Mus musculus: one gene and its partners. The main gene of each other region encodes a partner of the protein of the gene in region 2 in a complex. Links are inferred from orthologs where the notes say so. Each region holds a gene or a part of one and is shown on either strand. Other genes may lie near its edges.

The links.
Region 1: Banp (region 2) and Irf2bp2 share a complex: the UniProt entries of both Homo sapiens proteins name them as parts of the corepressor complex. The link is inferred for Mus musculus from reciprocal best matches to the Homo sapiens genes BANP and IRF2BP2.
Region 3: Banp (region 2) and Irf2bp1 share a complex: the UniProt entries of both Homo sapiens proteins name them as parts of the corepressor complex. The link is inferred for Mus musculus from reciprocal best matches to the Homo sapiens genes BANP and IRF2BP1.

The regions. Positions count from the first base shown.
Region 1 is NC_000074.6:126,590,709-126,595,905, forward strand, and holds the start of Irf2bp2 (interferon regulatory factor 2-binding protein 2), read right to left. Parts: upstream 3,279-5,197; 5' UTR 2,729-3,278; coding exon 1,732-2,728; intron 1,121-1,731; coding exon 405-1,120; 3' UTR 1-404. UniProt on the Homo sapiens protein: Acts as a transcriptional corepressor in a IRF2-dependent manner; this repression is not mediated by histone deacetylase activities. Represses the NFAT1-dependent transactivation of NFAT-responsive promoters.
Region 2 is NC_000074.6:121,948,577-121,953,833, reverse strand, and holds the start of Banp (protein BANP), read right to left. Parts: upstream 3,343-5,257; 5' UTR 3,186-3,342; intron 1-3,185. UniProt on the Homo sapiens protein: Controls V(D)J recombination during T-cell development by repressing T-cell receptor (TCR) beta enhancer function. Binds to scaffold/matrix attachment region beta (S/MARbeta), an ATC-rich DNA sequence located upstream of the TCR beta enhancer.
Region 3 is NC_000073.6:19,002,262-19,007,426, forward strand, and holds Irf2bp1 (interferon regulatory factor 2-binding protein 1), read left to right. Parts: upstream 1-1,796; 5' UTR 1,797-2,175; coding exon 2,176-3,930; 3' UTR 3,931-4,502; downstream 4,503-5,165. UniProt on the Homo sapiens protein: Acts as a transcriptional corepressor in a IRF2-dependent manner; this repression is not mediated by histone deacetylase activities. May act as an E3 ligase towards JDP2, enhancing its polyubiquitination. Represses ATF2-dependent transcriptional activation.

The DNA of each region.
Region 1 (5,197 bases), about 4.6 Mb from region 2:
CATACAAATACAGCTAGAAGCATTTGTTTGCCAAGTGCTCTTTAAAAACAAACAAACAAAAAAAAAACAAAAAACAAAATAAAACAAAAAAAAACAAAAGCAGCCAAGTCGCAGCCTACAAAGAACAGCAACTGTCACCCAAAGAGTCAAACACAGACAGCCTAACAACGTTAACAAAAGAAGAAAATGCCTTAAAGTACATACCTTTTGTCGTCAAAAAAAATATAGAAACACAATGTATTCAAAAAAAATCAAAATTATACAGCCATGTTATGAAGTCTACATTTCCCTTGTCTTGGATATATATATTTATATTTATATATATATATATATGTATGGAGATCTATATACAGTTCAACAAGTTTGAGTTAAGGGTAACCATGGGCTTTTCTGAACGCAGAAAGTCACGAGTCTCTCTCCTTCTTCACTTTCACATCTCCGGCGAGGATGGTAGCAATCTCTCCTTGCATGAAGGCCCAGGGGACATTGGAGCCCACCAGAGGACACTTCTCTCCACTTGGGCAATAGACCTCTCCGCTAGCGCCCTGCTGTTTAATGCTTTGTCTGGAGCAAGGGAAACAGAACTTGTGCGAAGGGACAGACGGGCACTGCACAAAGTGAGTATCCTCCAGCCGCTCGTGGCAGAGGGTGCAGCACAGGGGGGCGCTGGCTGCCAGAGAGGAGTCTGGGAGGCTGGCAGGGTGCACCGGCTCCAGTCCTCCGGTGCTGCCGGTGGCCTGGCCCCCCACCTCTCTGGGGCCAAGCCTTCTTTGGTTCATAGAGGAGGGAGAGGGCGGGCTGCTGCTGTTCCTCCTGGTGGTGGAGTGAACCTGGGTGGCATCTTTTGAGGCGTGACTGCCCCCGGCATTGTCTGCTACTAAAATCAGGGCTGCCATTGGGGACTGGCCATTCTGGGCCGCTTCAGGCGGTGTGGTCCGGTTGGAATGAGGAGAGGCAGTAGGGGGTGGTGGAGACACAAAAGAGGATGTAGGGGTGATGGGGATCTTGAGCCCTTCTGTGGAAGTGGACAGCCAAGGCTGTGTCTCACCATTGATCTTAGGGGGCCCGACTTCCCCTTCCGGTTCTGGGGAAGGCTTCCTTTTCCTTGCTGTCCTTGCAACTGGAAAGAGACAGGTATGGAAGAAAAGGAAGATTAACTTTAACGTACCCCCAAAGAGACAGCTCTCATCTTCAAAAACACACATAGTTCTGCACGCAGCTTCAAACATTTCCCCTAATAAAGGGCTCTGAGCCTGCACACCACCTCCAAGGTAAGCCAAGTCATGGGATCCTGCCTGAAAGGCTCCAACCCCAGACCAGCTCATGTGACTGCATTTAGCAGACAGGTTAAAGGGTGACTGCTGCCCTCACGCTTCCATCCAAGAATGTGCTGGGAAAGGAAAACCCCGTGTCGCTGCCTATCAACCCGTTCTGACTCATCCCTGTTGTGCTGGTTCAGCAGAGGGACCACGTTGCCACTAAGCTCTGGTTCAGCCCCGGGCCGACCAGGAAGTTGGCTGTTTGTTGTTTCTGGATTAAGGCAAAACTGTGCATGGAAGAATGGATCCCTACCACCCACCCACCCACCCACCCACCCACGCGCACACACGCACGCGCGCGCGCGCACACACACACACACACACACACACACACGGGTGGGCGGGCGCTCAAACGCTGCCTCTAACCCCACGCCCTCCATCCCTTCTCCCCTCGCCCCGCAGTCGCCCCTACCTGCTTTAGACCCGTTGGCCCCGTTGGCCTCGAAACCCAACAACCTGCCTGCTGCAGTCAGAGCCGGCTCCTTCTTGAACTTGCTCTCGAAGGGCCCCGAGTGGCCGTGCTGGTGCAGCGCCAGGAGCGTGTCCCGCACCGTCTTAGGCCTGCTGGCCCAGTCCTGCTCCCCGGGCGCGCGGCCTTTGCCTGCACCCTCGGCGCTCAGCTCGCTGGCCCCGGCCGCGCTGGATAAGCTGTCGGCCGGACTCCGGTGCGCGGGCTGCGCCTTCTCCTTGCTCGGCTCGCGCGCCTCGTGCTCCGCCGCCGCGCTCGACACAGACGCCGGGCGTTTGTGGGTGCCCAACTCGGCGGGCTGAGCTCCCAGGCCCGGTGTTCCGCTCACCGCGGCCAGTGTGGCCGCAGCACGGCCGCTCAACCCCAGCGCGGCAGAACCGTTGACCAGAGGCACCAGAGTGGGCGGAACGGCGTGTGCACGCCGAGGGTTCGGGCTCTGGCGATTCAGCTCCGGCGGCTCCTCCAGTTTGGAGAACCCGTTGGGCACCAGGATGCCGTTCGCCGGCGCGGACTGCTGCGCGGCCGACTGTGGGAGGCCTGCACCCGCACGCGTGCTGAAGTCGGAGGCCAGGCGCGGGGCACGATCCGGCGCCAGCGGGTAGCGCTCCATAGCCTGAGCGCGCGCGGCCTCGGCGCCCGCGTGGCCCAGCTGCGGCGGCGGCTGCAGCAGTAGGTCCTTGGCCGACAGTGGCGGTGGCTTGGCGGCTGCGGGCTGTGCACCGGTCGGGGAGCGGCCCTCCGGGAAGCAGCCGTGAGCACGCTTCAGCTGGCGGGCCGTCTCGATGACGAACTCCACGCGGTCGGCTCCCTCGTAGTTGACGCAGCCGCGGCACACGGGCTCCGTGAAGTCCCAGATCATGGCCCAGGGCATGCGGGGCAGGTCACACAGATAGCACGACTGGCGCCGAGAGGCGGCCGCCACCGCCACCGCCGCGGCCATGTCCGCACAGCCCGCCGCGCCGCAGGAGGAGCCGGGTGAGGGGACGCCGCCGCCCCCCGTGGATCCCGCGCGCGCGCGCCGGCCGGCCCAAGCCCGCGTCTGCGCGACTAGCGGCGGCGGCGGCCGCAGGCGAGGAGGCGGCGGCGGCAGAGCCCGGGCCGGCGCGGCGCCCGCGCGGCGCCCCCGGGGCACGAGGGGCGGCGGGCGCGCGGCGGGGCGCGCCTGCAGGTCCCCACGGGCGGCGGGGCGGCGCGGCGCGCGCGGGGGCGGCGGCTCGGCCGGGGCCGCGGGCTGGGGCCTCCAGACCGGGGCAAAGACGGGCCGCGAGCGCAGCAGGTCGCGCTGGCGCCCGGGGCGCAGAGCCGCGCGAGGTACGGGGGACGCGGGGCAGCCGCCGGGGCAGCTCAGCCCGAGCGGCGGGGCATGCCGCGCGCGGCGGCGTGCAGCTCGGTCCCGGGCCCCGGCGCGGCCGCTGCACAGCACCCACTGCGCCTCAGCTCCTGCGCCGCCGCTGTTGCTGCTGCTACCGCCGCGGCCGCTCCACTTCTACAGACTTGATTCTTCGACAGCTCTGCACGGCGCCTGCGCGGCCCCCTCCCTCCCTGGCGCGCGCGGCCCCGTGCGCCCGCCCTCCTTCCCTCCCTCCCTCCCTCTGCGCTCTCTCGCGCGCCACCCTGGATTCTTCCGTTTCTCGATCGCGTGCGCGCCGGGACTGAGGCGCAGACCAGTTCACGCGGCCCTAGCGCCGCAGGTGTGCAGCTCGCGTCCCCAAGAGTCCCGTGTCACCCCGCCTACCCAGCCAGGATGCTCCAACCCATGGCCCTGTTCTTTCGATTAAATCGTGCAAACTGTTTTATTTTACATGCAATGCCACTTTATCACTTGGTTACTGGCAGCCTCCTGAGCATGGAATTTGGAGCATAGCGAGGCGCACTTTGGACTTTTCCTTGTTAGCGTCTCACTTGGCTTCAGCTGGGCGCGCGCACGCTATCAACACTCTGCCCTGTTTTGGTCGAGGAAGCAACTACACACTGCCGCTGCCCCTTTAAGTTTTACAAAAACTTAGTGCTCAGGCAGGCCCGGCCTCTTTTGCGCGTGCACTGAAAGGAGGACGCACAGGCCCGAGGCTCCTCAGGCGCCGCCGCCCAGCGTCTTATGTAGGTCTGTGCAGCGAGCGCGTGACGTGGGCAAGGGACGCTGCCACTGCGCAAACTCCACATAAGACGTGCCCAGCGCCGCGGGCCCTGGGGCCGCGCCGAGCTAGTGCACATTCCAGGGATCTGGGCTCTGCAGCGCACCGCGTCACGGCTCAGGACCCGCCCCCGGTCTCTGGCTAGTAGGCCCTGCCCCACCGCCTCCGCGGGGCCGAACTTCGAGTGGCCAACTCTGGGCGCGCGCTGTCCCCTTTGCGCCTAGGGCGTGCGCTGGCGGGTGGACTTGGCTGTCTGTTGTACCATCCGGCTTAGCCCAGTGGGCACAGACGCGCCTGGCAGCATCGCTTCGTTGTTCCCTTCCACGCTGGGCAGTGAGGGCTGCCCAGAGTGGACGGAACACCGAATTGTACACTTTGGTAGGGAGCAGGGACTGGTGTGTGCTGTCAGTGGTCGGTCAGTCAGGCTCTGATTTGAGACCTACTACTCTGAGTAAGAGCCGCTTTTGCTTTTGTGGTGAACAACGCAGGTCCACCTCTCTCCCCAAGATTGGAATGGGCTGGTTAAGTGTGGGAAGAGCAGGGTACTAAGTACATTAGCTTTCCTACAACTGGATTGGAAGGTGGAAAGGGAGGGGGGAAAAATCTGCTGACCTTTTTTTCTCCGGTGGCTGCTATTGAAAAATGCCAGGTTGCTTCAAAGAATAGCCACAAGAGGAAACACGCCCCACAGAGAAGCAGCCCAGAGAGCTGTTTAGAGCACAAGAATAAACCTGTTGGAGGTGGCACAGAAAGCTTAGCGCCAGATGCCAAGGGCGTCCACAGGCTAACCTTGAACGTCTCTCTCGGGGCTTTCCAGAGAAGGTACATCTGTGTCAAGGGCCTCCCCAGCTCCCCTTCCAGTCACAAGCCTGCCTCACCCTCTCCAAGCCTGGAATGGGGCCTACCCGGATCCATTCCCAGAAGCAGCTGGTGCCAGCTGGTTTGGGCACCTGCTCCAGGACCTGTCAGTCTGGTCACTCTCTTCCAAGACCCTGTGTCACTCATCTGAGCACGTGATTTTGACCGTGCAGAACCTGAGTGGAGGAGATGAAGCTGCCCTGACTGCAGAGTCATCTCAGTGCCCTGAGAGATGGCCCACTAGGCAGACACAGAAACATTAAAACAAAGCAGAACCTCCCTTGAAAGCCTGGCCTGATTGTACTCGGTCCACCTGCCAGCAGCCCACAATGCCCTCTCCAGGGAAAGCCGCCACTACAACCCAAAATAGAATTGCCGAGGTACATACAATGTCTGCCTTGAGAAATGCGAAGTGGAGC
Region 2 (5,257 bases):
CAACTGTCTAGTCTCCCCCCTCCCAGGGAAACTTTTTCTGGATTTAAATAACTGAAATGACCCTTTAAGTAATATGGGGCTTTATAGTCAGCCTTGCATCGTGTAATTCATTCAACCATACACCTTAAGTTTCCATAGCACATCTGATTCTGAGAAAGCAGGCTAAGCTACATGGGGTGGCATTAGTAAAACCACTGCTGTGAATTCATCTAGAACCTGGGCTTGGACCCTCCGTTTCCCCTGAGCCCCTCACCTCGAGCAGTACTAGTCAGAATTCTAGTCATCACCCCTCCCCACCTGCATCTGACGTGTTCTCGTGAATACACTGCATGTCTAGCAGAAAGCTGATGTTCTTAGTCTATCTCCTGGGGTATTTGATATCAGTGTCTCTATTGACCACATAGCCTCAATCCAACAAACACTACAGTATCTGCTGGGCTTTTTCCAGAAACTGCACGTTTTTCCTGCCAAAACTTATAAACACTGGATACTTTGGGATAACGAAAATAGCAGACTGGAGGAGATATGACAACTAGAGTATGGAGTCTTGAATTACATCCTGAAACAAAACAAACAAAAGATGTCAGTGGGACATTGAAACGTGTGTATGGTCTTTATAATCTAGGTAACCTTCCTGTTAGCCAAGAGAGAAAATGAAGGGGAAGAGGAAGCTCATTCAGTTTCTCTGAAATTCTTAACCACAGACTAACTCTGCAGGTGGACCTCAGAATGCTCATGAAGTGTGGGTTGCTGTGGACTCTGCTGCAAGGCCCTGGGCAAGGGTGCCAGCCCAAAACAGCGCCTCGCTATCCCTGTGCTATGGGCGCGGCAAACACTGCACTGCGCACCTCGGGATCAATGAACCATGCATAATATGCTAGCTACTTGCACTAGCCCAGCAACAAAGTGAAGAGGCTAAACTCAGAGCTCACCAGACAAGTCAAATCAAGTGCCTAATCTCAGTGTGGGACCAGTCCTCTGCATCCTAATCTCAGTGTGGGACCAGTCCTCTGCATCCCGGTACCCTACCAAAGGACCACCCAGTCAACTGGAGGCAGCCAGACACCATGTTCTGGCACACATCCGTCACAAAGAGCAAAAAATGGAAGGAGACAAATTGTCTGAATGAAGACAACAGGCTTTGAAATTCCTGTTCAAGATGAGTGGCCTTGTAAACAATCTCCACTTACCCCACTAAAATACTTACTACAGTACAATCAGCTCACAAGAAAATAGAGCACAGCCAAAGACTTAAACTTCTGACAGAGGATCTAGATAGCTTGCAGGACACAGGAGTGGGGCTCCAGGCCCCACCTGGCCCTCAGCAGTCTCCACAGCCACCCCTGACAAGCAAAACAGCTTCCAAGCAAAGGGAGACAGACCCTGGAAGATGCATAAACAGCCCAGATATAAGGTGTCTGTTATGTGGTCCTCCAAGTCTTGAGGTAACAACCTCTCCCAGACACTAGTGGGGAAAACCATTTTTAAACCCCTCTCCACAGACCCAGGGCCCCCTGCCAGTTTCCTCTTACCTTAAAGTCTAAGGTTTAAGCAATAATAATTAGCACTATTGGAGGACCTGCCATCCAAAGCAAGAAGCTAACATTTACCACCCACCCCCCAAAAGTGATAAACAAGAAGTCAGATAAGAGAACTGAAAAGAACCCCTAATAGTTTTCTCAGCCTGAAAGAGAAAACATATTCATGAAACAAACTACTGAACAAAAGGAAAAGAACAAATACATTCAGAAATTTTTTTTTGTTTGTTTCGTTTTTCAAGACAAGGTTTCTCTGTGTAGTTCTGGCTGTCCTAGAACTCACTCTGTAGAGCAGGATGGTGTCAGACTTAAGAGATCCGCCTGCCTCTGCCTCCCAAGTGCTGGGGCTAGAGGTGTGTACCTCTCTATGCCCTGCTCAGAAACTACAATTCTGATGGTGGATTCGCCGGCCCCCTCCCCGAGATAGGGGAGGTTGCCTATGTAAACACTATGTAAACGAGGTTGCCTCAAACTGGCAAAGATCCACCTGCCTCTGTCTCCTAAGTGCTTGGAATTAAAAGTCCTGCGCCACTGGGGTGAAAGATAAACTGAAGTTCTTTCCTGGAATGAAAATCAAAAAGGAATAGAAAGATAAAGAAACTCAAGTAGTGTGCCCAAATGGGGCGGGGGTGGGGGGGAGGGCGACAAACTCTCTAACGACTTTAAGAAAGGCTCTTGGGACAATCTCCCAGCGCTCGAGGACACGCCTACCGAGCATACCTGCGAAGGGCAGACCTGTTCCAATGCCAAGAAGACCTTAGGCCGGTCCAGGGAGGAAACAGTTACCAGAAAGGAAGTCCTTGGCAGAGGCTCCCTGGGGACTCAAGAAGAAAGCTGACTGAAACACTGCGTCCTGAGCTGACCAGGCGTGCAGCGAAAGAAAGACCTCGGGACCTACCTGCACCCGCCTAAAGCGTCCCCAACCCAGATTAGAAGAAAGGCAGAGAGGAGGTAGAGGGAAGCCGGAGGTTCCACACTATCTCCGAGAAGTTACAATGTCACCAGGAGCAGAGAAACAAAGGCCACCACAAGTAACAAGGAAAAAAAAGAGCCAGGCTGTGCGGGACGGGGACGTGACGCTAGGTGGGGAAGCGAGCACCAGTCTCGGCCCCGATGTCAACAGAGAGCAGAGCAGAGGCGGGCGGACGCGCCAACCAGGGCGAAGTCACCCGGTTACCGGGGCATAGCGCCAACAACGGCCGGGAGATGGGGCCACCTAGGCGGCGGGGCGGCGCGCGGGGCCCGGGCGCAGCGCGCGAGGCTCAGTCCTGAGAGACTTGGGCGGCCGAGCCAGGGCCACAGCGCCCGCGCGCCGAGCCCGTGACAGGAGCGCCGGGCGCGGGCCCGGGAGGCGCCGAGGCCCCGGAGCCGAACGCACGCGAGCACGGCCGCCGGGCCTCGGCCGCTCGCCCGCTCGCTCGCTCGCTTCCCGGGTCCCGCAGCCCCGGCGGGTGGAGGCGCGGAGGCGACGCGCGGACATCCCGCGGCCCGCCGGCCCCCGCCCAGCCCGGCGTGCGGCCCCGTGGCCGTTGGCGACGGTTGGCGGCGGGGCGGGGCGGGGGCGGCCGGAGATCTCGCTCTCGCTCTCGCTCTCGCCCCGCGGGAAGGGGGAGTGGAGGCGCGACCGGCTGCGGGAGCTGCAATTACCGTGTGGGCTGCGGAATTCTCGTGGTGTTTGTCGGGGAGCTGCGATAATGGCGTCCGTCCTCGCGAGAGAAGCAGCCGCTCTGCGCAGGCGCCGCGAGCGCCTCCCCACGGCCTGCGCCCCGCCCTCAGCGCAGGCTCCCTGGGCTCCCGGCTCAAGGGCGGGGCCGGTCGGGAAGGGGGCGGGGCCTGCTCTGGGCGCCTCTGGCGCGCGCTTTCGCCGACGGACTCCAACGAGCATGCGCAGTTGTCCTCCCCTGCTCCGAGAGTTGACTCGCTGGGCCCTTACTTCCCCATCTCACGTCCATGTTACTTGCTAAAGCAGTAAATCCTCCAGTGTTCAATCTGAGGAATGTACGTCCTCTTTGATGGGTGTGAACACACTAACGCTGCCCTGACGACTACAAATCCCAGTGTGCGCTGTGTGTGGCACGATGCGTCCTGGGACTGGTAGTCTCTGCGGCCATGATTTGCCTGCTGGGATTTGTAGTCCATCCGGATTCTGGCTGCCCCATGCCTTCCCTGCCCTGAGGGCTGCTGGGACTTGTAGTGTCAGCGGCTCAAATGGGCTGTACGCTCCCAAACCCGTCCTACCTACTCTACCTGGCATCGGTCTCAGACGTTCCGGGCTCGTTCAGTGGCATTGTCTGGAAAGTTGCCTGACTTCCTTATGGACAAGCTGGTCGTGGGGACACTGTCACTGTGATAGAGATTATATGTGACATGCTTACGTATCATGCAATAGGAGCTATGCAGCATCGATGTGCATTTGTTGCCAGAAATGCCACTAATGGTTCTCTGCACCTGGTCTGTCGTCAGTGTTCCTTTCCAGGCTGTCCCCTTCTGCATGTTCGCAGTGAGCAATCCTACAAACCGGGATTACAGGAGTTATTTTCACTTAGAAAACTAAACAAAACAAAAACCTGTTTCCTGCCCGTTCCCCTGTGCCGATAATAAAGCCATGACTCAGTGCAGCTACCAGCTGGGCAACCTTGGGACAGCCCTTCTAAACCACTGTGCTCTGTCTGGGGTTTGATCCTGTGCCACTTTACCTCAGGATTGTCTTGAAGATTTCAACCTAGAACTGTGCTGTTAAAATGAGACCTGCTGGGCAGTGGTGGCGCACACCTTTAATCCCAGCACTTGGAAGGTAAAGGCAGCCAGATTTCTGAGTTCGAGCCAGCCCAATCTACAGAGTGAGTTCCAGGACAGCCAGAGTTATACAGAGAAGCCCTGTCTCATTTGGGGAAAAAAAAAAAAAAAAAAAAAAAAGCACTGACTGCTCTTCCAGAGGTCCTGAGTTCAAACCCCAGGAACTACATGATGGCTCACAACCATCTGTAATGGGAACCCAATGCCCTCTTCTGGTGTGTCTGAAGACAGTGACAGTGTACCCACATACATGAAATAAATAAATAAATCTTTAAAATAAAAAGAAAGAAAGCTAAGCCCAGAGGAACTACGAGGAACTTGGCCAGAAACTCTTAGAGAGTTGTACTATCTCCTCCCACCGCCCCTCAATTGGGCCCAGATTTTAAAACTGTAGTTGTGAGAGTTCTGAACATGAATGCCTGACCGCACGGAAAAACAGAGTAATGGTGACGTCATCCCCAGCATGTCACCCTAACATCCCCCTTAACCTCCCTTTCACCCCTGGCGTTGCCGTCTCCTCCATCCCAGGACTTCAAATGTATTTAGTGCAACCATCAAGCAGATGAGTGGATGGTGGGGAAAGGGTGGGTTGGCACCAGTAGGCAGCAATGAAGGGCTGAATGAGAGTCCGAGTGCTAATACAGTTTAGATCTCAACCAGAGAGTACACTAATCAGAGCCAGAGTTCAGAACCGGGAGGCTGATGTGTGCGCATGCGTGCAACATGCATGTCCCTCGGCAGCTGCCCACCTTGAATTTTAAACCACAGTCTCTCAATGGGACCTGCAGCTTGCAGGGTAGGTGAGACTGACTGTCCAGTGAGCCCCAGTGATCCACTTGTCTCCGCTTCCCCAGCTCTGGGATCACAAGCCCACCCCACCACGGGTGGCACCATTGATTTGTGCCTTCTGGGGCTCAACTTTA
Region 3 (5,165 bases), on a different chromosome or scaffold from region 2:
ATTAAAAATACAGGCTGGTAGTACATCTCAGCACTAGAGCACTTAGCATAAGGCCCTGGATTCCATCCCAGTACCACGTATAAGCAGGAGAAAGTAAATAAACAGTAGTACAGGAAACCTATGGTTGTGAACATAGTATCTCCCAGGAAACGATAAAAATAGGCAATTTGTTTAAGGGAGAAGTGTTAAAACAGTAATGCAGGTGGTAGTTAAATTGTAACGCTGAAATAGAAAGCCAGGGCTGCTGTGACTACTCTGGGGTGGGGGTGAGAAAACCACCAAGCCTCCACTAAGTGCAAACCTGGAAGAACGCAAAGAAGACACTGGGGGGGGGGGGGGGAATTGAGACCACCAGCGGGGATCCAGGCCAAGTGAGGGGAAAGGGCTGATGTGAGCTAGGTCCTGGAGACATATGTCGCTTCTCCTAGCTCCCCCCACCCCCCCAAAAAAGCTAAAAACATGGGGTGCCCACAGCCGATTGGGCCCACCAGGCCATTAAGCACTTGGAGGTTTGGGGTTGCCCTTCCCAGCAATCTCCTCTTGGCTTCCTCATTCCAAATATAAGAGTAATAAGAGCCCCCTAACCTGGGGGGTGGGGGTGGAGGGAGAGGGCGAAATTCCCTGCTAGCAAGGGGGGGGGGCAAGAATCGGGAAGGCCTTCCCCCCCCAAGCTTCCAAGCAGAGGAAGTACGTCAGTGCGTCCATCTCGCAGAGCATTTTGGGAATTGTAGTGAAATTGGAGGTGTACCGAGAAGCCAACTCTGTAACCCTTTAGAGACCAAATACGTGCACAGCTGGAGCAGAATTGGCAGGCTCAGAGAACGTTCTTTAGCAGATGAGGAAACTAAGGCAGCCGCCTGGCTCGGAAGCCTACAGTCTTATCATCCTGTAGCCTCTGGGCCGCCCTTGAGGCTAGTACCTAAGACACTGGGAAGGACAAACTGCCAAGTAGACACTACTCTCCAAGAGTTGCCTGAAACCATCCCCTTGAAACCGTCCAATCAGAGCCTCTCCGCCCCAATTCCCCCAAAGCTGCTGCCTTTCTAACCGGTTATTGGCCCTTCTTGAAGGGGCGGGATTCTAAGAGAGGGCAAGACTCTTCTAGAACTGCTCAGCAAATCAGAGCAGAAACTGCTTTCCGGCTTCTGGGTATGGTGTCGGGACTGTAAACCCACAAGGAGGCTGAAGCAGGGAGATTGCAGCAAGTTTGAGGCCAGCCTAGACTACATAGGCTAGCCTTCTAGGCCAACCTGAGCTAAAGAATAAATCTAAGTCTTAAGAAAGAAAGAGGGGGGGCTGGTGAGATGGCTCAGTGGGTAAGAGCACCCGACTGCTCTTCCGAAGGTCAGGAGTTCAAATCCCAGCAACCACATGGTGGCTCACAACCATCCGTAACGAGATCTGACTCCCTCTTCTGGAGTGTCTGAGGACAGCTGCAGTGTACTTACATATAATAAATAAATAAATAAATAAATCTAAAAAAAAAAAAAAAAGATTGTTTAAAAAAAAAAAAAAGAAAGAAAGAGGGGGCGGGGAAAGGGGGGAAATTGCATCCACAGCAACTTGGCCACCCGAGCATTTATGAAACCATTACCCACTCCATGGACCCTGTGTGCGAACCCCAGCTTCCTGGCGAGGCACAGTGAAAATTAAGCACCCAGACCAGCGCGCGCCCTCTTTTCCCGCCACTGCTTTCTACCCAGTCCCCTTTAAGAAGCAGCCCCGACGGGACTACATTTCCCAGAAGGCTTTGCCCGCGCGTTATGTAACTTTCCCTGCGAAGCGGCCTCTGGGGCAGAAGAAGGAGGTGGAGGCGACGGCGGCCGTTGCAGCGGCGTCGGCGGCGCGAGCGGAGCGGCGGGAGCCTGGGGCGGCGGCGCCCGAGGCCCATCGAGGAGCTGGAGCTGTGCATCGCGGCTCACGGCGCGGACCGGACGGGGGCGCCGACGTGCGTGCTCGTGGCTTGCCTTTTCCACCGGAGGCGGGAGTGAGAGAGAGAGGAAAAAAAAGGCTGAGGGCCCAGGGGGCGGGGAAGGGGGGCCGGGCCTGAATCCGGCGGGGAGGCCGAGCCCGAGGCCGGATTGAGCGGCTCGCGCGCCCGTCCCGGGGCACGGCGGAGCGAACGTGGGCGGCGGGTGCACAGCAGGGGCACCTGGCGGCGTTCCGGGGGGCGCCATGGCGTCCGTGCAAGCGTCCCGCCGCCAGTGGTGCTACCTGTGCGACCTGCCCAAGATGCCGTGGGCCATGGTGTGGGACTTCAGCGAGGCTGTGTGCCGCGGGTGCGTGAATTTCGAGGGCGCGGACCGCATCGAGCTGCTCATCGACGCCGCCCGCCAGCTCAAGCGCAGCCACGTGCTCCCCGAGGGCCGCTCGCCCGGACCCCCGGCTCTCAAGCACCCGACTTCCAAGGACCTAGCCTCCACGGGCTCCCAGGGCTCCCAGTTGCCACCCCCGCAGGCCCAGGCGCAGCCATCGGGGACCGGCGGTAGCGTCTCAGGCCCGGACCGCTATGACAGGGCTACTTCATCCAGCCGCCTGGCGCTGCCTTCGCCGGCTTTGGAGTACACCCTGGGGTCCCGCTTGGCCAACGGGCTGGGCCGCGAGGAGGCCGTGGCGGAAGGGGCACGCAGGGCTTTGCTTGGCTCCATCCCCAGCTTGATGCCCCCCGGGCTGCTGGCAGCTGCAGTGTCTGGCCTTGGAGGCCGAGCTCTGACGCTGGCACCTGGCTTAAGCCCCGCTCGTCCACTTTTCGGCTCCGATTTCGAGAAGGAGAAGCAGCAGAGGAATGCGGACTGCTTGGCAGAACTGAACGAGGCCATGCGGGGCCGGGCGGAGGAGTGGCATGGGCGTCCCAAGGCTGTAAGGGAACAGCTACTGGCTCTGTCCGCCTGTGCCCCTTTCAATGTTCGATTCAAGAAGGACCACGGGCTGGTGGGACGGGTGTTCGCCTTTGATGCCACTGCCCGCCCTCCGGGCTATGAGTTCGAGCTGAAGCTCTTCACCGAATACCCCTGTGGTTCTGGCAATGTTTACGCGGGGGTCCTTGCAGTGGCTCGCCAGATGTTTCATGATGCTCTTCGAGAGCCAGGGAAGGCCCTGGCCTCATCGGGCTTCAAGTACCTCGAGTATGAACGGCGCCATGGTTCAGGGGAATGGCGCCAGTTAGGAGAGCTGCTTACGGATGGGGTCCGCAGCTTCCGAGAGCCTGCTCCTGCGGAGGCCCTGCCCCAGCAGTACCCAGAACCGGCCCCTGCTGCTCTGTGTGGCCCACCTCCAAGAGCCCCATCCCGAAACCTGGCGCCCACTCCACGCCGTCGCAAAGCATCCCCTGAGCCCGAGGGCGAGACAGCTGGGAAGATGACCACGGAGGAGCAGCAACAGCGGCACTGGGTGGCGCCAGGCGGTCCATACTCTTCAGAGACCCCTGGTGTGCCCTCACCTATTGCTGCCCTCAAGAATGTGGCCGAGGCTCTGGGCCACTCACCCAAGGACCCTGGTGGGGGTGGAGGCTCTGTCCGCGCAGGGGGTGCTAGCCCCGCGGCTTCCTCCACAACCCAACCACCGGCCCAGCATCGTTTGGTGGCACGCAATGGAGAGGCAGAAGTCAGCCCCACTGCCGGGGCTGAAGCTGTCAGCGGGGGTGGTAGCGGCACAGGGGCGACCCCTGGAGCCCCCTTGTGCTGTACCCTGTGCAGAGAAAGGCTGGAAGACACCCACTTCGTGCAGTGTCCCTCGGTACCCGGACACAAGTTCTGCTTTCCTTGCTCCCGAGAGTTTATCAAGGCACAGGGCCCAGCCGGAGAGGTGTACTGCCCCAGTGGAGACAAATGTCCACTGGTGGGTTCCTCTGTCCCCTGGGCCTTCATGCAGGGCGAGATCGCTACTATTCTTGCTGGTGACATCAAGGTCAAGAAAGAAAGAGACCCCTAGGCTGCCACTGCCAGGCTTCTTTCCCCTCCCCCTTAACCATCACCGCATCTGCGGATAAATTATTCCCTACCGCACCCAACCCTGTACCACCCTAACCTATGTATATACCCTTTCCTCTGCCCAGATGGGTCCCCTGGGGTAGATACATTGTGGGTGGGGGGAGAGAGCTTGTGGCTCCTGTCAGAGAGGGTGTTTGGGGTTCCTGGGCCCCTCCTTTCTTTTTCCTTTCTTGGCTTGGCTTTCCTGCTGTTGGTAGTTGGGTGAGAGGTACCCCGCGTGTCCTTGAGAAGGGACCTCCTGAGAACTCGCTCTTTATAAACGAAGCAAAAGCATTTTATTGTTCCCCCTCTCCCACCCTTTTCCTCCTTCAATAAACTGAGAGATGGGTTGTTCTTTTTCCCCCTTCTTGTTCCCTTTAGTTTTTATGAGATGCTGCGCCCCCTTCGGGATTGGACTTGTCCTGCGCGCAAGAGGACTTCTGCGTTGTGACCACTAGGTGGTGCCTTTTGTCCAGTGGGCTGCTGTTTGTAGTAGTGTACATTTGCTGTGCTCTAATTAAAGGTGTAGTCGAGGCCGGTTTTGCAGACGATGGTACTGAGATTCTGACAGGGCTTGGCTCCTGCACGGCGATCACAAACTTGAGAGTAGGTTTGCACTACAGCTGGCCCTCTGAATGCAGAGACATCAGAGGAGGGAAAAGAAGTAGGAAGTGTTCTAGAGGTAGTTTACTTGGAGATATTTCTAGGGGCACTGTCCATGGAAAGAGTGAGTTGAACCTTCCTGGGTAAATGTATATGGGAGCAGGATGGTACCTTCTTGCTTCATATAGTGCCCAAGAGATGGACACACCTGAGAAACCTGAACTGGGCTCACGCCCTTCATCTGGGGACAGTGGCTATCACCCTAAAACACTTAGGAGCTAAGTAAAAGGCTCCCGCCCACCGCGGCTGCTTCTGATGTGTGTGCGGCCTTGTCCCGCACCTGTCCTGGGTGACTGATCATTAACCAGGATTTCCTGCCCGCTGGCGTCATGGGGGTGGGGTCTGGGGCCTAGGCAGACTATGGCAAAACAGGGGTTAAAAGGAGGGGGTGGCCCCAGCAGTCACATCCTGGCCCCCACTTGAGACCCTGACATGGAGATTCCGGGAAGGGATACAATGGTAAGCCAACGAGACAGTGTCCAGTGAGAACCAGCGACCCAAGGGTGTCCCTGATCTCCTCTCCAGGTGTCTCCT